Linked DNA regions of Anolis sagrei. Each later gene encodes a partner of the first gene's protein in a complex. Links are inferred from orthologs where the notes say so. Each region holds a gene or a part of one and is shown on either strand. Other genes may lie near its edges.

The links. The genes of interacting proteins can lie anywhere in the genome.
Region 2: STX4 (region 1) and BNIP1 share a complex: the UniProt entries of both Homo sapiens proteins name them as parts of the SNARE complex. The link is inferred for Anolis sagrei from reciprocal best matches to the Homo sapiens genes STX4 and BNIP1.
Region 3: STX4 (region 1) and BET1L share a complex: the UniProt entries of both Homo sapiens proteins name them as parts of the SNARE complex. The link is inferred for Anolis sagrei from reciprocal best matches to the Homo sapiens genes STX4 and BET1L.

The regions. Positions count from the first base shown.
Region 1 is NC_090026.1:14,722,675-14,730,039, reverse strand, and holds the start of STX4 (syntaxin-4), read right to left. Parts: upstream 3,019-7,365; 5' UTR 2,916-3,018; coding exon 2,886-2,915; intron 1-2,885. UniProt on the Homo sapiens protein: Plasma membrane t-SNARE that mediates docking of transport vesicles. Necessary for the translocation of SLC2A4 from intracellular vesicles to the plasma membrane.
Region 2 is NC_090022.1:100,712,797-100,720,033, forward strand, and holds the start of BNIP1 (vesicle transport protein SEC20), read right to left. Parts: upstream 3,023-7,237; 5' UTR 2,989-3,022; coding exon 2,905-2,988; intron 484-2,904; coding exon 391-483; intron 1-390. UniProt on the Homo sapiens protein: As part of a SNARE complex may be involved in endoplasmic reticulum membranes fusion and be required for the maintenance of endoplasmic reticulum organization. Also plays a role in apoptosis.
Region 3 is NC_090021.1:237,756,777-237,764,152, reverse strand, and holds the start of BET1L (BET1-like protein), read left to right. Parts: upstream 1-4,354; 5' UTR 4,355-4,439; coding exon 4,440-4,458; intron 4,459-7,376. UniProt on the Homo sapiens protein: Vesicle SNARE required for targeting and fusion of retrograde transport vesicles with the Golgi complex. Required for the integrity of the Golgi complex.

The sequences.
Region 1 (7,365 bases):
TATACAAATTTGGTGTCAATTCGCCCAGTGTTTTTTGAGTTATGTTAATCCCACAAACTACCATTACATTTTTATTTTTTATAGATTAATTAATAATACAAATTTGGTGTCAATTCGCCCAGTGTTTTTTGAGTTATGTTAATCCCACAAACTACCATTACATTTTTATTTTTATAGATCAATTAATAATACAAATTTGGTGTCAATTTGCCCGGTGTTTTTTGAGTTATGTTAATCCCACAAACTACATTACATTTTTATATTTTATAGATTAATTAATTAATAATACAAATTTGGTGTCAATCCGCCCAGTGTTTTTTTGAGTTATGTTAATCCCACAAACTACCATTACATTTTTATTTTTATAGATTAATTAATTATACAAATTTGGTGTCAATCCGCCCAGTGTTTTTTGAGTAATGTTAATCCCACAAACTACATTACATTTTTAATATATTAATTAATTAATACAAATTTGGTGTCAAAATTTGGTGTCAATCCACCCTGTGTTGTTTGAGTTATGTTAACCCCACAAACTAACATGACATTATTTATATAGATTCACAACCACCTCCTTTCCTTCCATTTTTGTGGCTACATTTCATGAGGAGAGACTTCAACTCAAGACTAAATATAGATCATTTACATCTATATATATAAATTTGTTAGGGGCATCCAACGGAGAAACAAAACTCAAAAAACCCCCAACGAAACTTAACCAAAATTCCCATGCCCATAACACAACCCACAAGGTACAAACATATCTACTCAAAATGAAAAACAACACAACAACACACTCACAAAACGGCAAAACAACAAAACTCAAAAATCCCCCAACGAAACTTAACCAAAATTCCCGTGCCCATAACACAACCCACAAGGTACAAACATATCTACTCAAAATGAAAAACAAAACAACAACACACTCACAAAACGGCAAAAGAACGAAACTCAAAAAACCCCCAACAAAACTTAACCAAAATTCCCATGCCCATAACACAACCCACAAGGTACAAACATACCTACTCAAAATGAAAAACAAGACAACAACACACTCACAAAACGGCAAAACAACAAAACTCAAAATTCCCCCAACGAAACTTAACCAAAATTCCCATGCCCATAACACAACCCACAAGGTACAAACATATCTACTCAAAATGAAAAACAACACAACAACACACTCACAAAACGGCAAAAGAATAAAACTCAAAAAAACCCCAACGAAACTTAACCAAAATTCCCATGCTCATAACACAACCCACAAGGTACAAACATATCTACTCAAAATGAAAAACAACACAACAACACACTCACAAAACGGCAAAACAACTGAGCATGCACATTGGCGCCCAGCCGCAAGTTCCCTGGCGCGTGCACATGGCCTTCCGGCCAACGTTCCCTCTGCCCACTCCAAGCCCCGCCGCGCCGCTTCCCGCACACACACACCCCCTGCCGCACACACACACACAACCCCACACTCCATCACTCCCCCCGCCGCCGCACACACACACGCAACCCCACTCCCCCCGCCGCCGCACACACACGCGCAACCCCACACTCCATCACTCCCCCCGCTGCCGCACGCACACACGCAACCCCACTCCCCCCGCCACCGCACACACACACGCAACCCCACGCTCCATCACTCCCCCCGCCGCCGCACGCACACACGCAACCCCACTTCCCCCGCCGCCGCACACACACACGCAACCCCACGCTCCATCACTCCCCCAGCCGCCACACACACACACGCAACCCCATGCTCCATCACTCCCCCGCCCCAATCTTACCTCCTTTTACTTCACACCACCTCCAAACCCCACCCCGCCCCTTCCTGCCCTGTCAAAATCTAGGAAAGACAGGAAGGAAGGAAAGAAGGAAGAAAGAGAAAGGGAGGTAAAGAAAAAGGGGGAAGGAAGGAAAGTTAGAGAAAGAAGGAAGAAGAAAAGGAAAGAAAAGGAAAGATGGAAGGAAAGAAAAGAGAGACAGCAGAAAAGAAAGAAACGGGGAAGGAAGGAAAGAGATAGAGAAAGAAGAGGAGAAGGAAAGATGGGAGGGAAGGAAGGAAGGAGGGAAAGAAGGAGAGAAAGAGGGAAGATTGGCCACATTTCTATTATTATTATTACTATTATTATTATTATTATTATTATTATGCTATTGTTCCTATGAGACCCTAGGGGAATGGGAGAGGTGTCAGGTCCCAGAGGCAATGCATTGCATTATTGTTATTGTTATGATGGTGGTAAAATAAAAGGAAATAAAAAGTGAAAGAAGGAAGCAAATAGGGAGGGAAGAAAGGCAAAGGAAGAAAGGGGGAGGGAATGAAGGAAAGAGAAGGATGAAACCAAGTAGTGAAAGAAAGAAAGAGGTAGAGAAGGAAGAAAGGAGAGAAAGGGGGAGGAAAAGGGGGAAGGAATAGGTAGGGACCTCTCTTTCATAATAGTCCAGATATCTACCTCAACTTTGATAAGTTTTACTATAGGCCACAGCAACGCGTGGCAGGGCACAGCTAGTTTATTATATTTAGGTTACTTTAGGGGTTACAACTTTGTTAGGCACTAAAAAAAAAGAAAGGGGAAGCCCAGGAAAGCAACACTATTGTCATGGGAGGATGAAAAAGAGGCAGAAATAAGGGCCAAAAAAAGATGGAGGAAAACAGAACACCCCCTCCTCCCAACGGAGGGAGTGTGACAGGAACAGCCAACGAAGCAGAAATATACGGAGGGGGAAGGGGGGGATGAACGGAAGAGCGGAGTCCCCTCGCGCCACCAAGAGAGGCGGGGCCTCAGCGACCGTTGTGGGCGTGGCCAGGCGCGCGGGGGAGAAAGAGGGCGCGCGTGCGGATTGCGGGGGGGAGGGGGAGGGGGTGATGTGCTCCTTACCTCTCTGAGCTCGTGCGTTCGGTCCCTCATCTTCTTTTTTTTTTTTTCTCACAACTCTGTGAGGAAGCGGAGTGAAGGGGGAGGGGTTGGAACTAGAAGGGAGAGCACAAGGCTGCGCATGCGCGCGCTCTGTTCTCAAATCTGTTTGGCGCTCCTCGCTCCGCCCTCCTCCCGGAGCTATAGACAGGACATCTCCGTAGTGCGCATGCGCTGTGCCATTTTCGCCTCTGGAGAAGCCAGTTCCTCTTTTTCCTCACAGTCGACGGGAAGATGAGGTGCGGCCCGGAGGCGTTAAAAGACTCCAAAGCCGTGTGTTTATGCTATTACGGAAACGATCCTCAATCAATTTTCCCCCCCACCTTTCACATTAAGAAGTTGCTTCAATGGAGTAATTATTTTAGGGTTTAAAAACAGGAAGTGACGTCAGGCGTATACATTGAAAGCTCATCTGCAATATGTCCGCTGCCGGATGTTGTCACTCCACCGGATGTCTTTTTTTTAATTCATCGGTAATGAGTGCCATAGGACAGGCATAGAGCAAACTTGGGCCCTCCAAGTCCTTTGAACTTATAGAATCAAAGAGTTGGAAGAGACCTCATGGGCCATCCAGTCCAACCCCCTGCCAAGAAGCAGGAATATTGCATTCAAATCACCCCTGACAGATGACCATCCAGCCTCTGTTTAAAAGCTTCCAAAGAAGGAGCCTCCACCACACTCCGGGGCAGAGAGTTCCACTGCTGAACGGCTCTCACACTCAGGAAGTTCTTCCTCGTGTTCAGATGGAATCTCCTCTCTTGTAGTTTGAAGCCATTGTTCCACGTCCTAGTCTCCAGGGAAGCAGAAAACAAGCTTGCTCCCTCCTCCCTGTGGCTTCCTCTCACATATTTATACATGGCTATCATATCTCCCAGTCACTTGAAGTGACTGGACTGACCTTGAAGGAGCTGGGGGTGGTGACGGCCGACAGGGAGCTCTGGCGTGGACTGGTCCATGAGGTCACGAGTCGGAGACGACTGAACAAATGAACAACAACAACAACATCATATCTCCTCTCAGCCTTCTCTTCTTCAGGCTAAACATGCCCAGCTCCTTAAGCCGCTCCTCATAGGGCTTGTTCTCCAGACCCTTGATCATTTTAGTCGCCCTCCTCTGGACACATTCCAGCTTGTCAATATCTCTCTTGAATTGTGGTGCCCAGAATTGGACACAATATTCCAGGTGTGGTCTAACCAAAGCAGAATAGAGGGGTAGCATTACTTCCCTGGACCTAGACACTATGCTCCTATTAATGCAGGCCAAAATCCCATTGGGTTTTTTTGCCCCCACATCACATTGTTGGCTCATGTTTAACTTGTTGTCCACGAGGACTCCAAGATCTTTTTCACACGTATTGCTCTCAAGCCAGGCATCCCCCATTTCGTTTTTCCTGCCAAAGTGGAGTATCTTGCATTTGTCACTGTTGAACTGTTGAACTTCCACAATTCCTAACATGAAGAGTGAAGGGGGGGGGGGGGGCAGGGGTCAGTTCCACCTTGTCTCCTGTTCTATGCTTATGTAATATAATATATTGTATATAATTGTATATAATATATTGTATATAATGTAATATAATGTAATATAATAATACAATATATAATATATTGTATATACAAGGTGAGGCAGCATAACTTCCTTTTTTCAATCCTCCAAGGTTGAGGGGTGTGCTGTCGCATGCTGGGCCTGTGCATAAGACTGTAGACAGGACATAAATTCCGTGTGCCCAACGGGACGCCGGGGCTGCCTCAGATTAAAGGCCCTTGGATTCCCCCAAACAGAGTCTTTAGATTGCTTAAAGGTTCAACAATGTTCTTTATTAATGAAAACAAACAGGTATTTCAAGGCTTTCTTAACAGTCTATTGGCTCTTTCAATCTTGTCCACAGGGAATAGGCACTATCTTCATGACGTATTTTATCTAATGGGGAAATCCTTAACTTCTAATCTGGGCAGTGTTTCTTTGCCTCTGTTGGCGTGGAGCCCTTACACCTGGTACCAACTGCGTCTGGCTTCCGCGAGTGACCCTTACCAAGAAGAGCTTTGTAGACTTCCAGGGAAAAAGGAGTTCAGGTTTCAGTTATGGCTGGCTGAAGTCCTTCAGCAAAGGAGCTGTAAGGCTGTAAAATCCTCAGCCAAGCTGTGAGGCCTTTTCTCCCCGGCCAAGCTGTAGGCTGTATATCTCCCCGGCCAAGACGTAAAGCTGTATATCTCCCAGCCAAGCTGTAGAAGACGAAGCTTTCTACAGGAGCTCTTGGTATTCTGTCCTGTGAAAGGCTTCTCTGTGTGGACTGAACCAAAAAGGCTCCTATTCCCTCCAAAACCCCAAAAAGGGGGCGGGACCAGGGAACCTAACTATAATTGACAGGTGGCTTGCCCTATGATTGCAGCCAAAAGAAGCCACCTATCTGCAGAGTCCCTGAAACTTGGGACTATAACAAAGCAAACAAAATTGGAGCTCTTGGAACAGCTGTTCCAGAACAATTCCTAACATAAAGAGTGAAGAGAGGGGGGCCAGGGGACAGTTCCACCTTATCTCCTGTGCTATGCTTATAATATAATGTCATATAATGTATTGTAGATACAAGGTGAGGCAGCATAATTTCCTTTTTTCAATCCTCCGAGGTTGAGGGGTCTGTTGGATACTAGGAAAGTGAGGTTAATATGTAATGCAATATAATACTACTACTACTACTACTAATAATAATAATATGGCATTATAATTATATATTTATATTTCATGGAATACAGGGTGCAGCAGCATAACTTTCTTTTTTAAAACTTAATAAAACTCATTGTATGAATCAGAATTTTTTAAATAATAATTTTTATTGAATTTTTTATATAATAACAGAATTTGAATCAGAATTTTTTTTCATAATGTAGGCGCATACCTAAAGTTTTGTTTCACGTAGTTTTGAAAATCAAATTAGGTAGGTGACGTCCCCCATTCTCCATACACTGAGTAAACCGATTTCTGGCGTTTGTCATTACTCTTGCCAGCGTAGCAGGAGTTACGTTGGCAATTTCTTCCTGGATGTTGGTCTTGAAATATTGTAGGGTCCTTGGACGGTTCACATAAACACGGGATTTCAAAAAAACCCATAGAAAAAAATCACAAGGGGCCAAATCTGGAGAGCAGGCCAGCCACTCCAAATCCGCTCGAAAAGTAGGCCTCAACGGCAAAATCACGCTCCTCACTGTTCCAATGCATGATGGCGAATGAATTGTGTCAGGACAAAACTTTATACCCGCCCAGGGCCGTACCCAGAAAATTTCAGGGGGGGGGGGGGGGTTGAAACCTGCCTCCTAGCTCACGCTGAAGCAAAGAGCACAGCAGGGGCAGAGCAGCTTTCAATAGCCTGCAGCTCTGCCCCTGTCAACCACCTCCACCAAGTCTGGCCTCCTTAATGAGAGCATTCAACACCCCCCCCCCCCAACTTGGTTGCTGCGCTACATCAGCTAATGACAGTGTGAATAAATTGTCGATATTTGTTTGAGATAGTGCTTGCAGTTCTGGAGGGACTCTTAATTTTTTGCGTCTCATAGACTTAGCATGGGGATTTGGTTAACCAGTTAAAATTAATGAGTAAACCAAGTTTTTTTTTACCTGAAAATTTTTTGGGGGGGGGGGTTAGGGGTTCAGGCTTGCTCCCGCCTCTCGCTCCGCTACATTTTTAACTGCATTTTAAAAAAGGAAGTTATGCTGCCTCACCCTGTATATATATTTATAATATTGTAATGTAATACAATATAGTACTAATAATCATATACAGGGTTAGTCAAAATGCATAGGCCAATAAGCCATTCAATTGAATGGCTTATTGGCCTATGCATTTTGACTAACCCTGTATTATAATTATATATTTTATATTACATGTAATATTACTAATATTACAATATAATGGTATAGTACAATAGTATATAGTAATATATAATACTGATATTGTACTATGCTAATAATATAATATATTGTATGTATATATATCTTGTTAGCTGCTCTGAGTCCCCTTCGGGGTGAGAAGGGCGGCATATAAATGTCGTAAATAAATAAATAAAAAATAGCAGCCTCAGGCGCCTTCCTTTTCCTGCAGCTGCAGCTGACGGGCAAAAGGAAGGGGCCTGAGGCTGCTAGAAATTGTGGGAGTTGAAGTTCAAAACACCGGGAGGGCCCAAGGGTAATAGTATGATAGCTGGTTGCGGAAGCTCCGAGTGTTATGGAGATGCTGCATCGCAACATAGACTAAGCTAATGTAAGCCAGGCCGGAGACAGATAATATAGAAGGATTCTAAGAGTTCTTTAACGGTGAAACCCTAATCCTTACCCCAACCCTGAACCGCACCGTAAACCTAACCCCTTGTTGTTCATTCGTTCAGTCATCTCCGACTCCTCGTGACCTCATGGACCAGCCCACGCCAGAGCTCCCCTTACCCTAACCCAAACCCTA
Region 2 (7,237 bases), on another chromosome or scaffold:
GATGAGGTTAATAGTCTTTAGGAGTATGTATTCCATATAATTCATCTTTTCAAATGGTAGAATCCTAGAAGCTTAAATTATTAGTGTAGCTTGGGCTCCTTTCTTTGGTGAACCAGCTATCTTTAGCAAGCTAAAAGGATCTAGAGCCCAGACAACTATGCCACTATATAAAACAACTGCATACTATGGTGTTATTTCTAAATATGAGCAAGTTTAGGAGATCCCCATGAAAAGCACCTCCTCCATGCCCAGCATAAAAATGCAGAAAGCTGCTGCAGGAGTGCTAGACATTTCGTCCTCCTTTGCCAGCCTCCAGTAGGCTGGTAAAAACTACAATGAGCCTACAAGCCTTATTTACACATTTCCCCATGGTTTGTCACCATTCCTCACCTGGATTCTAAGTCGTAAATGGTGAAATTTTTCCTTCACTTTGGCATTGAGTTCCGTAAGTGTACTTATAGGCCCCATGCAATCTCGGATATCCTAAAATAAACAAGTCAAAGAAAAATCATATAGTCACTTGCTTCTATCATATTGTTATGTAATGTAATGATGCTTTACGAGCAATGTAATGTTATACACTGTGGCTAAGCACTCAGACATTGCTGAATGCCACATTATCTAGGTGTGGACTTAGATAACCCAGTTTGAAGCAGATATTCTAGAATATAGGGTTGTGTGGAAGGGTCCTCAGTCTTCTGGCTGAACCACCATCATGAATTAGGCATGATGGTGAACACTGTTGATAATAGAACCCCAGACATAATGTAGAATTAACTGAGAAGTGGCAAGGTATGCACAATCACTCAATCATGCCAGTTCCAATATACTTGCATTTAAAATGCTACAGGCATCTCAGGGAAAAGAGGCACTAAACCAGTGGGACATTTAAAAAGTAATGAGTTAACTAAATAACAAATATAAACTATTTATTTATATTTTTAAAGTTAGCAACCTCAAATCAATTGCAAAGTGTAATCAGATCCACAGACTTTGTGAAAACTAGTCCCAAATGTTAAGAAACCCCTTTCACAGAAACACAAAGTAAATTGCTGTATTTTACTAGAAGAATAACGAACTATGATTAGTAGTATGTGAACTAGATTTAATTGATTCAGCGCCATTAAGACTAAGACTAGTCCAATTCCTACACTACAAAGCCACAATGGCAACCTTGTGTGCTTGTTTGCTAGCCATGGAAATGAATGAATTATAGAGAGAGACCTCATGGGCCTTCTAGTCCAATCCCCTGCCAAGAAGCAGGAAAATCACATTCAACGCCCTCCTGACAGATGGCTATCCTGCCTCTGTTTAAAAGCCTCCAATGAAAGAGTTTCCACCACACTCTGGGGCATAGAGTTCCACTCTTGAACAGCTTTCACAGTTAGGAAGTTCTTCCTAATGTTCAGGTGTAATCCCCTTCCCTGTAGTTTTAAACCATTGCTCTGCGTCCTAGTCTCCAGGGCAGCAGAAAACAAGCTTGCTCCCTCCTCCCTATGACTTCCTCTCACATATTTCTACATCTCCTCTCAGCCTTCTCTTCAGCAATCTAAACATGCCGAGCTCTTTAAACCTCTCCTTACAGACTTGTTCTCCAGACCCTTGATCAATGAGAAGAATCGTGAGCAAGAACCATAACTGCACAAAAAGTGGAGAACTGGAATCCTATCACTGACTGCCCTGTCTTTAGTTATCTGTGCGGAGGCCTCTTACCATCAGAGCCACAGGATGGACCTTCTGCAGGGGAATAGGCCAAAGCCCTCCTGACAGAGGTTTGAGGATTGGCTTGACCTCTGGAGACCAGGGTTCGAATCCCCACTAGGCTGTGGAAGCCCACTGAGCAACTCTGGGCCATTCACACTCTCTAAGCCTCAGAGGAAGGCAAGGGCAACCCCCTTTGCCAACAAATCTCAAATAATAATAAAGAGTATAGTGTCTGAATTGTTTTTAATACTTTGTTAATAAGCTTGAATGAGACTTTAACTTAATAGTTTAATAACGGTAACACTTAATTCTATTTTAATATTTCCATTTTGAAGGCTTCTAAATCGCTTAGTTAATAACAAATAAAAACATTCGTTATAATGCTGGCTGGCGCTTTTTGGGGAGGAAAACCATTCTTGGAAATTATGATCAATATGGTTCTAAAAACTTTCCTCAAAAAAGTGGTTTCTGTGAGTAGAATTGTAGGGCTGTGCGCTGTTCTCCATCCTGAGAGAAAAAGGAGTACTAATGAGTACAGCAGCAACAACAACAACAACAGCAACATGGCATGACAGACGTCTGAAAGGGCTTGGAGAGGCCTTGGAAACCAATGTCCTCACTGCGGAAACCACTTGGAAACCAATGTCTTCACTGGGAGAAGGAGCCCGCAGTGGCGCAGTGGGTTAAAAACTTGTGCCCACATGACTGATGACCTACAGGTCGGAGGTTCAAATCTGGGGAAAGCGCAGATGAGCTCCCTCTCTCAGCTTCAGCTCCCTATGCGGGGACATGAGGGAAGCCTCCCACAAGGATGGCAAAACATCAAAACACCCGGGCATCCTCTGGGCAACGTCCTTGCAGACGGCCAATTCTCTCACGCCAGAAGTAACTTGCAGTTTCTCAAGTCGCTCCTGACACGAATCCCTCCCCCCCCCAAAACCTGTGGTAGAATATGTGGATCAAGAACAGGGCTCCACAGCCACTTAGGGCCCCACCGCCAAGACATTTCACTTGGAGGGCCATCATCCTCGAGCTATGAGGGACCGCTTAAGGAAAGGGAGAGGCAGAACATACAACAGGCGTCATTTCCTTCAAGGGAAAGGGCTGTCAGGAGAAGTGCCCTGATCAGAGCTCTTCCGAGGAATAACAGGCACAGGTACGAAACGCCCTCGGTCCGTGAGAGGTGGGGAAAGGCTTTACCTGCACCGCCGCTTTAATCTCCAGGTCGAATTTGACAATCTCCTGGTTGCAGACGCGGACCGGCACGTCAGCGGCAGCCGCCATCTTGGAACGAACTACGGCGAGCGAAAGGGGGCGCGGGGGCGTTTCGAAGCGCGCTTTCTCTGCTCCGCCCTGAAGGCGGCGCCAGGAGGAGGAGGAGGAGGAGGAGGAGGAGGAGGCGGGCTCTCCAAAGCTGCGTGATTGACAGGGGGAGAGGCCACTCCTAAGGCTCAATCTCTCTTGATGTTTTGCATGTCAACAGTGTCACATCCTGTTGGGATGTGGTTCTTTATCTGATGTTTAGTCTTTTTCCAGCTGAAACAAGGGTAGGAGAGGGTGGATGAATATATTATATTCTTGTTCTTATGGCTGCATTTCTGTTGGCTTAATTCAGAGTTTGAATTAAAACCTTTTGCTCTGTTACTTTGCTACAGAGGGATTCTCAGCTGGTGATCCAAGTAATATTTATTCAAGAATTTCAAAATGTATATAGACTTCCCCCTCCTTGCCTTACAGGTTTAAGTTGTAATCTGTTGGGGCATGTAAAAAAAAATCCGTTGGTGTTTGTGAAAATGCAAAACACCAAGCTGACTGGTTGGGGGAGCTAGCTGAGCCTGAGAGTTTTGGCAACAGTTACATTTTAAGGCTTGAGCTGTGCAAGAGCTTGCCCAGATAGAGAGACAGTTCTTGCTTCATGAACTGCTGGAAGATGTTTTTCCATTTGGACAGCGAAAAACCATTTTAATTTCTCTAAAAGGACATTGTGAGAGTCAATGCAACTGTTCACATGACTGTATATATGTTGCTCTGCATTACAAAGAGTAAACTCCTTGTTCTTCACTGATCATCTGAATGACATATTTTTCTTTCTCTGGCAAGTCAGCGTGTGGACTGGTAAAACGTGATTTTCATTACGCCACATAATCTACAGATAGATCCATATAGGTGTCAAAATACTAAAACTTTAGTCAGCACAGACTTAGGTTGGTAACATTGCATGGAACTAGAGTTGGAAGAGACCCCAAGGACCATGGAGTCCATGAATTATACTCAGAACACTCCTAACAGATGACTGTTCAGTCTCTGTCTAAAAAGCCCCAAAAAAGGAATTTCCCCTGTCAAACAGCTTTTACTTTTAGGAAAATTTCCCTAATGTTTAAGTGGAATCTCTTTTCCTGCAGTGTGATTGTTTTTCCATATCTTTTCCGAAATAGTAGAAAACAAGACTTCTTCCTCTTCAATATGACATCTTTTCAAATATTTGTACGTGGCTGTCATCTCAATCTTAAACGTATCTAACTGCTCAAGCCACTATTCATAGGGCTAGGCTTTCAGACCTTGGATCAGTTTGGCTCTCCTCAGGACATATCCCAGCTTGTCAATATCTCTCTTAAATTGTGGTGCCCAGAGCTGGACACAGGACTCCAGGCGAGGTCTGGGTAAAGTAGAATAGAGTGGGACTTTGACTTCCTTGGAATTTTACACTATACTCTTATTGATGTAACATAGAATTACATTGGCCTTTTTAGCTGCTGCATATTTAGCTTATGGTTTACTAACTTCTAAATTACTTTCAGGCGAACTTTTATCAAGGCAAGTGTCACCCATCCTATATCTGTGCATTTCATTGTTTCTGTCTAAATGTACGTATTCCCTTACATTTCTCCCTGTTGAAATCCATTTTGTTAGTTTTGGCCCAGCTCTCTAATCTGTCTAGGTCATTTTGGATTCTGATCCTGTCCGCTGGGATATTAGAGATCCCTCTCAATTTGGTGTCATTTGGTAAGCATGCCTTCTATTCCATTATCTCAGTCATTTATTTATTTTTGGTCTATATTTCTTAATGAAAGAATGGTGGATTTTAATAATCAGGGCTGACACTTCGGTTGCTTCTATATACTGTATATGTTTTGTAACAAACGCATTTACTTTACAACTTAAGATCTAAGTATTTCAGACATAAAACACACGAAAGTCACCATAATGTCAGAACTTCTCTTCACAATTTATTTTCAATTACAAAGGATGTTGCATACATTGATGAGTTTGTATCTGAATAGAAATGCTTGGGCTCAATGGTGACAGAGTAAACAAATAAATTTTTGAATTGTGCCTTTTTTTTTTTTAAAAAAAAGGGAAAATTACACAACATTAAACATTATAAAAGTTGCAAACAGATCATGCTTTTAAACAAGATTTTTTTTCTAAACAAGACAAGATCTTCAATACATTTTCTGAGCTCCAGTTGGAAATGGACTACAGAATGTTAACAGCATTACAAACATGATCCCAAGCATATAAGCTGTTAATATTGGTGTTTTTCTTTGCCTTTTAAAATGTTGCTGTGTTTTGTAAGTGCCATCAGCCTTACATCCCAACCCTAAAACCCTCATTTTGAAGCATATAACATTTAGTGGGCCCCACTTCCAGATAAGTATACTTAGGATTGTAGCCATAGTTCACTTTGAAAATACAAATATATCAAAATGCATATTCAATCTGTATAAAGCAGGGCAAGATGTTGAAAATTCAAATGTGTGGAATAGATTCCAAAAACAATGACTAGACATTACTTTGTTCTTCATTTCTCAGAGGGAACTAAGCTGCTTTCATATTTAGTTAAAACTACCTTGATTCCCTTACAACCCTCTTATCCATGGATTTAAAAGTCACTTACCCACACTTCAAAAACATGACTCCCATCCCCAGAAATGTTTGTGGGCCTCTCTAGATATTCCAGTGTGGTTCCATGGTACGCTACCAGCCTGAGTATAGTCAAAATATAGGGTTTGTAGTTATCCAGTGTCAGGCATCCATGGGGTCTTGGAACAAATCCTCTGTGGATACCGGGGTCATCCTTTACTTAATTTTTATTTTTATGTGAGTGGCTAATACTCATGCTTATATGAGTGGGATCCTGACTTGCATGCTTGCATACTAACTTGTTAAAGTAAGACTTAACTTCAGCTGCTCTTTAATTCTTTATTATGCAAAAGAATCTTGAAGCACCCTACAGAATAACTGAGAATGAATTTGTTAACCTGAGCTTCCACAGACTAAGCTACTTTTTCAGATGCAAGATTTTCTGTACAAGGGCTTATGCTACCAACATCATTCTCACAGTCTCTAAAGTGCTTCAAAATCCCTTTGCATACATATATTCCAAATGAACACAGCTTTGTCTATGCATTTTAATCTTTAAATAATATATAGGCAAACCTAATTTATTCAAGTTACTGCATGTATGTGGTGCTTAAGAATATGTTTAAAATTCAAACCTAAAAGTCTAAATCCAATGGCTACTCCTAATTAGAATAGGTCCATTGACTCTAGGAGATGTACATATATAGGCGCTGATAGCAATGGCTATTAACTGGAGCAGTTAACAAAATCCTCCGTGTTCAGAAGCATGTTAAGACACTGCAATAAACAGGGAATATCAATTACTGACTTACTACCAAAAGTATCTGATTAGCTCCTGAAGACAATGACTACTGAAGTCGAGTTTTTACTTACTGCTTTTCTAAAGGTACTGAGGCTACAACCCTGGATACATTTAGCATGGAAGTAAGACCCATCCAGATCAAATTGGATTGCTTTTTAAAAAGTGTGTTTAGGGATTGGAGGAAAAAATCAGAATGCCCTTGTGGAAGTTTGTGAAAACCTAAAGGTTGCATGAACACCCATTTACTATATGAAACCCAATTGGGGAAAATGGAGATAACAAGAACATAATTATTGATGAGATTCAATGAAGTTTAGAATTCTGTGAAGGAAGTATATGCTAAAGTGCCATTTCTGCAATGTAGACAAATCATTCCATTTGCACTGGAAATATCCCTAAGTATTGTTCTCTCAATGTGATAATGCCCTGAAATGCATTTTTAAAGGAATCAGCTTTCAGATTAATTCTTGATTGAAATGTGTTTTGCACAATCCCTTAGGGAAAACAAAATAGAAGCAAACAAACAAATAAACACACCCTGCACACATGTGCAAGAGTCAGCTACACCAAAATGTAGGCTTCCACTGGTAGCAGATTAAACTAGATGATTCCATAACTAGAACCTTACTTTCAAAAAAAGAAATAATGATTAGACATGAGTAAAATTCAGGCCTGAAGGCCTGAACTTCTGTTATTATGTACTTTGACTGTGCCTCAACCTAGAATTCCAGGAAGACTGCTAAAATAAGTCAAGGAACAGACTGGCTATGCTATTCTGCTGAAGGCAACTTGTAAGAAAACCCATCAAAAACAGATAGGAGGCTATTACCATTTTAAAACTAGCTATATTTAAAAGACTTACATAAG
Region 3 (7,376 bases), on another chromosome or scaffold:
TCATCTGTTGAGATGCTTTGAATGTGATTTTCCTGCTACTTGGCAGGGGGTTGGTCTAGATGGCCCACGAGGTCTCTTCCAACTCAATCATTCTATGATTCTATGATCAACACTTTTGCATAAATTGGTACATATTCTGTAATTTGGTAATAGACTGAGCTTCCCTTATCCAAAATGTCTGAGGCTACAGTGTTTTGGATCCCCCCCCCCCCCCCCCAGATTTTGGGATATTTGCATATACATTTGATTAAGACATATATTAAGATGGGCCCAAAATCTAAACACCTAATTCATTTATACTTTATAGCAGGCATGGGCCAACTCCAGCACTCCAGGTATTTTGGACTTCAACTCCCACAATTCCTAACAGCCTACCAGCTGCTAGGAATTGTAGGAATTGAAATCCAAAACACCTGAAGGGCTGAAGATTGCCCATGCCTGCCTTATAAACATAGCTTGAAGATAATGTCACACATATTTTAAATCTGTTTGAAGTCTGTGTGCATTGAACTACCAAAAAGCAGAGATGCCAGTCTCTTGGCCATCTATTTTCAAATTTGGAGTATTTCAGAATTTCAGGTAAGAGATGCAACTCAGCAGGTGTATTTCCCCTATAGGGGTCAATATAAACATTGTTGAGTGCACTAGCAGAAACAGATATTCAGAAATTATTTAATATTTTACACAAGTCAAGCCTGGACTTGTTATGAACAAAAATGTAGGTCTGGAATCAGACCTGGGATGACAATAATAATAATAATAATAATAATAATAATAATAATAATGGGCTGTTGTAGGTTTTTTGGGCTGTGAGGTTAAGGATGCTTGCCACAGATGCAGGCAAAACGTCAGGAGGGAATGCTTCTAAAACATGGCCATACAGCTGAAAAACCTACAACAACCCAGTGATTCCAGCCATGAAAGCCTTCAACAATACAACAACAACAACAACAACAACAACAACAATAATAGCTTTATTTGTATTCCTAGAGAACTCAGGGCAGATTCCAACAACAGAAGGAAAACAAAACATTTAATGCCTATACAATAAGAATAACAAATACAAATGCATTAACAAACCGCCCAAATCCCAAAAAAGTGAATGTATATCACTTTAAAATGCACATAAATCAAGTTTACAACCACATATCAAATTAAACAAACAACTCACTTAAAATTAATTTAAATTATATCTAATATGAAAATATAACTCTGGCATCACAAAGAATTCACAAGAATCAATAATGTATTTAATTATTTACCCTATTTATATCATCTTTCTCTACCCCAAGGGGGATTGAAGGCAGCCAACATATGGTAATTATTCAATGCTTTAAACACATATTATTTATTTATTTGCAAAGGGGACTCAGAGCCACTTACAAGATATATATACATAAAATATATTGTATTATTAGCAAAGTACAATATCAATATTAAATATTACTTTATTGTACTATACCATTATACTGTAATATGATTAGTAATATTACATGTAATATAAATATATAATTATAATATATTATTATTAGTATTATATTGCAATACATTATAATATTATAAATATTATATGTATATACAATATTAAAATATTACTATATTGTACTATACCATTATATTGTAATATTATTAGTAATGTTACATGTAATATAAATATATAATTATAATATCATATTATTAATAGTAGTATTATATTGCATTACATTATAATATTATAAATATTATATGTATATACAATATGTTACATTATATTACATTATTAGCATAGCATAGGAGACATACAAACATTAAGCTTAAAATCCACTGAATTAAAATGAATACATAATTTAAAAATTTAAAAAATTACATTCAGCATTAAAATCACGCCATCCATAACATCTACACCGTAGAAATAATGCAGTTTGACACCACTTTAGCTGTAGTTTTATAAGGCTTCCTCTGCCTGGGAGTGCTGGTGCCTCATCAAACTACAACTCTCATGTTCCAGAGCATTGAGTGATGGCATTTAAGGTGGTGTCAAGCTGGATTTCTTCTAAAGTGTACGCGCATCCAAGGTTTCATTTAGCCAAGCCTTGTTTACATCCTCCAAAAACCCATTGGATTCCAGTCTTGCCCAGATATCTACCTACCTTTACAAAAGGGGAGTGGTTAGGAAACATTTCCCAATCTGGTTTCCTTAATCCAAGATACAAAGTGACATATTATGATCATCGTGATTGGGATCATATCAGTATGCAACCCTCCTCCCAGCAAGCCCAGCCACCCCATTTATTGGGGAACCCAAGGGAACCCCAGGAAGGGGAAGGGCGGCTTGTACCTTCCTTTGCAGCCGAGCTGCTTGTGGTGGGAAGTCAGTCTCTTCGCCTCATTCCCTGCTGCTGCCTCCTCCTTCCTTCCTTCCCCCAGGACAAGAAAGGGAAGCCAAAAGGAAGGAAAGGCAGCCAAGAGGGGGCGCCAGTTGCCGGAGGACACCAGCACTCTTTGGCAGAGGATGCTAAAGTCTGGGTTGCTGTGAGTTTTCCGGGCTGTAGGACCCATGTTCCAGCAGCATTCTCTCCTGACGTTCCCTCTGCATCTATGGCAGGCATCCTCAAGGGTTGTGGGGTCTGCTGGAAATTAGGAAAATGGGGTTTATATATCTGTGGATACTCCAGAGTGAGAGAAAGAACTCTTGTCTGCGTGAGGCAAAGCAGCCAGGCTTTGAAGCTGCAAGGCTATTCGATGCTAATCAAGCTGGCCAATTGCAACATTCACACTTGCATCAAAAAACGAGAGGAAACTAGGAAAATAGGGTTTCTGTGGAATGTCCAAGGTGGGAGAAAGAACTCTTGTCTGCTTGGGGCAAGTGTGAGGCAAAGCAGCCAGGCTTTGAAGCTGCAAGGCTATTTGATGCTAAACAAGCTGGCCAATTGCAACACTCACACTTGCCTCAAACGGACAAGAGGAAACTAGGAAAATTGAGTTTCTGTGGTATGTCCAAGGTGTGAGAAAGAACTCTTGTCTGCTTGGGGCAAGTGTGAGGCAAAGCAGCCAGGCTTTGAAGCTGCAAGACTATTCGATGCTAATCAAGATGGCCAATTGCAACATTCACCCTTGCCTCAAACAGACAAGAGGAAACTAGAAAAATGAGGTTTCTGTGGGATGTCCAAAGTGGGAGAAAGAACTCTTGTCTGCTTGAGGCATGTGTGAAGCAAAGCAGCTAGGCTTTGAAGCTACAAGGCTATTCAATGCTAATGAAGATGGCCAATTGCAACATTCACCCTTGCCTCAAACAGATAAGAGGAAACTAGGAAAATGGGGTTTCTGTGGAATATCCAGGGTGGAAGGTGGGAGAAAGAACTCTTGTCTGCTTTGTGTGAGGCAAAGCAGCCAGGCTTTGAAGCTGCAAGGCTATTCGATGCTAATCAAGCTGGCCAATTGCAACATTCACACTTGCCTCAAATGGACAAGAGGAAACTAGGAAAATGGGGTTTCTGTGGAATGTCCAGGGTGGGAGAAAGAACTCTTGTCTGCGTGAGGCAAAGCAGCTAGGCTTTGAAACTGCAAGGCTATTTGATGCTAATCGAGCTGGCCAATTGCAACATTCACACTTGGCTCAAACAGACAAGAGGAAACTAGGAAAATGGGGTTTATGTGGAATGTCCAAAGTGGGAGAAAAAACGTTTCAATGTTTCAATGGACTACCTTGGTTAGTATTCAGTGGCCTAGCTGTTTCAAGGTCTGGCTTCATACTGCCTGGGGGAATCCTTTGTTGGGAGGTGATTAGCTGGTCCTGATTGTTTCTTGTCTCCAGACAAGAAACTCCCCTGTTTTTGAGTGTTGTTCTTCATTTACAGTGCTGATTTTGTTAGGTACTGTTAGGAATTGTGGGAGTTGAAGTCCAAAACACCTGGAGGGCCCAAGTTGGCCCATGCCTGGTAGATGCACTCCAAGACAGGCAGGACAGAAGATATTTAGAGGGGGGGGGGGAAGAAACCAGATTTGTGTAAGGACAGAAGAGAAACCAAGAAACTTGGTTCCCCCTTTTTATAGTTTATTTTTTTTGTAATTAATTTGCCAAGAATGGGGCTGGACTGGATAGCCTCTAGGGTTCCCTTCCAGCTCTATCATTCTGTAAACCTTACAGAGGCAGCAACCTACGTCACAAACAGGGGCGGGGCCAATGCTCTTGGATGCCCGAGGCGGAGAATCCAAAGGGCAGCCACTTCCTGTTCCTGCCCTCAAGAAACATGGCGGCCCATTCCCACTCAGGGAGCATGCCCTCTGGAAAAATGGCGGTCTAAGCCGCACTCTTCCGCTCTCGGGGGAGGCGCTTATCCAATCCCCGCCCCACGGCCTCCTTGCCCTCTTCCCTGATTGGTTCGTTTGCAGATCGATTGCCCTCCTTGGCACCGCCTCTCGCCTTGGCTCCGGATGGGACACGGAGGCAAGAGGCAGCCATGGCGGATTGGGGCCGAGGTAGGAAGGGAGGGAGGGAGCGGTGTCTGAGGGGAGGCGGTAGGCCTCGGAGGGAGGAGGAGAGTGGGCGCCCTTCGTTCTGCCCTAGTTAAGCCTTCCCTTTGTTTTGGGGAGAGGGCCCTCCTTCCCGTTGAAGCAGGCCTGGGCAAACTTGGGCCCTCCAGGTGTTTTGGGCTTCAACTCCCACCATTCCTAACAGCCTGTAGGGCCGAAGGTGGCCCAGGCCTGCTTTAAATGGTTCTCCCCCCACGTCTCCTTTGTTTTCTTTCACAGAAATGCCCTTTGACAGCTGAAATAGTGAGTCAGGCACAGTATTGCCCATCTTAACTCCATAGCATTGAGTCATGGCAGTTGAATCTGTTTCAAACTGCATTAGTTCACAAGTGTAGACCCACTGAATAAAAAGAAAAGGAATTATTCATGCCGGAAATTCTTGAGACCAGAAGTATTTTGGATTGTGGCATATTCACCTATATTAAATTAGGTATCCTAGAGATAGGACTCAAAAGCTAAACAGGACATTCATTTGCTTCATTTGTATATATGTGTATATATGTTATTATACATTATTATTTGATACACAAAAAGATTAGTGCACAGCAAGCAAGAACGCTGTGCTGGCTTTTGTATTTGATTACACTTCAGACACATCCCAAGTATCTGTGTGATGTATTAGGAAATAATGTATGCAGAACCAGGTAGGGTGGCCTATTGCAACTGACAAATGGTAATATTGTAGGCGCCGACTGTTTTTAAGTGCAGGCCAAGGTATTTAGGCACTGTACCCAGTGTGCCGATCACCACTGGGACCACCTTTACTGGCTTGTGCCAGAGTCTTTGCATTCATTTATGATACATTATCATCATCATCATCATCATCATCATCATCATCATCATTAAGGAGCCCCCGGTGGCGCAGTGGGTTAAACCCCCCCTCCCCGTGCCGGCAGGACTGAAGACCGACAGGTCGCAGGTTCGAATCTGGGGAGAGGCGGATGAGCTCCCTCTGTCAGCTCTAGCTCCTCATGCGGGGACATGAGAGAAGCCTCCCACAAGGATGATAAAAACATCAAAATCATCCAGGCATCCCCTGGGCAACATCCTTGCAGACAGCCAATTCTCTCACAACAGAAGGTACTTGCTCCTGACACGACAAAAAAAAATCATGTTTATTTATACCCCATTTTATCTCTCCGAAGGCAACTAAAAGTGGCTTGACATTAACACATCAGCATAACCATTTAAAATATACAAGTATTGTTGTTGTTGCTATTATTACTTATATTACTTATATTATTACTTGTTACTTATAATATATTATTACTTTATCTCCCCAAAGGTGACTAAAAGCAGCTTGACATAAAAGCATCAGCATAATCTTTTACAAATATACAATTAGTATTATTATTATTATTGTGGTTATGTTTGTTTATACCCTGCTTTATCTCCCTTGAAGGCAGCTCAAAGCAACTCAATATAAAAGCATCAGCATAAACATTTACAAATATACAAACATTAAAACAGGATTAAATATAAACAGTATTCAAAAACTTTGCTTAATTTGTTGAGTCACTGGCTTATTTATTTATTGTTTATTCCTATCCTTACAATCAAAAGGAAGGCTACAAGTTAAGAATAACTTTACATAGCCTAAGAGTCCTTTCATAAACAGTTTTAAAGAATTTCAGGCATGCAGCAAAGTTCGTATATACTGATCCATCAGAAAGCAAATGTCTTGCTACTTTCTTATTTCAGTGGACTTCTGTCCTTCCCCAAAATGTTTGGGATGGCTGTGTTTTGGATTTTTTCAGATTCTAAAATCCTTGCCTATCAGTAATGAGACATCATGGAGATGTGACACCCACAACATTCATTTATGATTCATACATGCATATATAGCCTCAAGGTTGTTTTATATACAAAGATTTTTTTTAAAATAATTTTGTGCGTGAAACCAGGTTGGACATATTGAACCCTTAGAAAAAACAAAGATGTTACTTTCTCAGCCATTGTGCTGAGATTGGATTTGGGGATTTATGAATAAGGGATATTCCAACCCTGTATTTCCATTATTGGTTTCTCCATTTGTTCTGCTTTCATTTTGGGTGGTTATGTGTGGAAACTGATTTTTTTTAATACTGTTACATTTAATTCTGTTTTAATATTTGCATATTTTTATATTTAAAATTATGTGGTCATACTTTTAATGTAAGCCACTTTGAGTCTCCTTTGGGAGAGATAAAGCGGGGTATTGGTGAGGAGGAGGAGGAGGAGGAGGAGGAGGAGGAGGAGAAGAAGAAGAAGAGCAATAATAATAGTAATAGTAATAATGGTGGTTACATGGGGTTAAGCAAAGTTCTCCAATTATGGATCCTGGCTGGACAGCAGTAGAAAAAGAGTGTGGCATTAAAGAATATAAAATGGTTATATGAGACACTGTTTTTATTGAAATGCATGTAAACTACCAGCATGACTTTCTATGACGGCAATGGGAATTTTTCCACATACTGGGGAAAATGCTGTGTTCTGTGGCTGTGAATACAGAGCAAGAATCCATTAGCACATGCACCATGTCTATACAGAGCATGAATCCATTAGCAGTAGCAGCCATGTCTACATCATGTTGCAGTGAGTTTCACAGTTAAACTTTGAAACTCACTGCAACATGATGTAGACATGGCTGCTACTGGAATGGCTTGAAAGAGGGTTTCCATATATTCAAAGAGGGAGGAGCCATCAATGGCTGCTACTTTGGGTTGCCGTGTGTCCATCGCTGGGGCTTGTGAGATGGAGTTGTACTCAGGTCTTGCTGGTGGTTTCTGCTGCATGTGGTCCTTTGACTTCATCTATTGTGAATTTCCTTATTCCTGTAAAAATACTGCAAAGTATGGCACTTTGCTTCTGAAACTGGGTCTCAT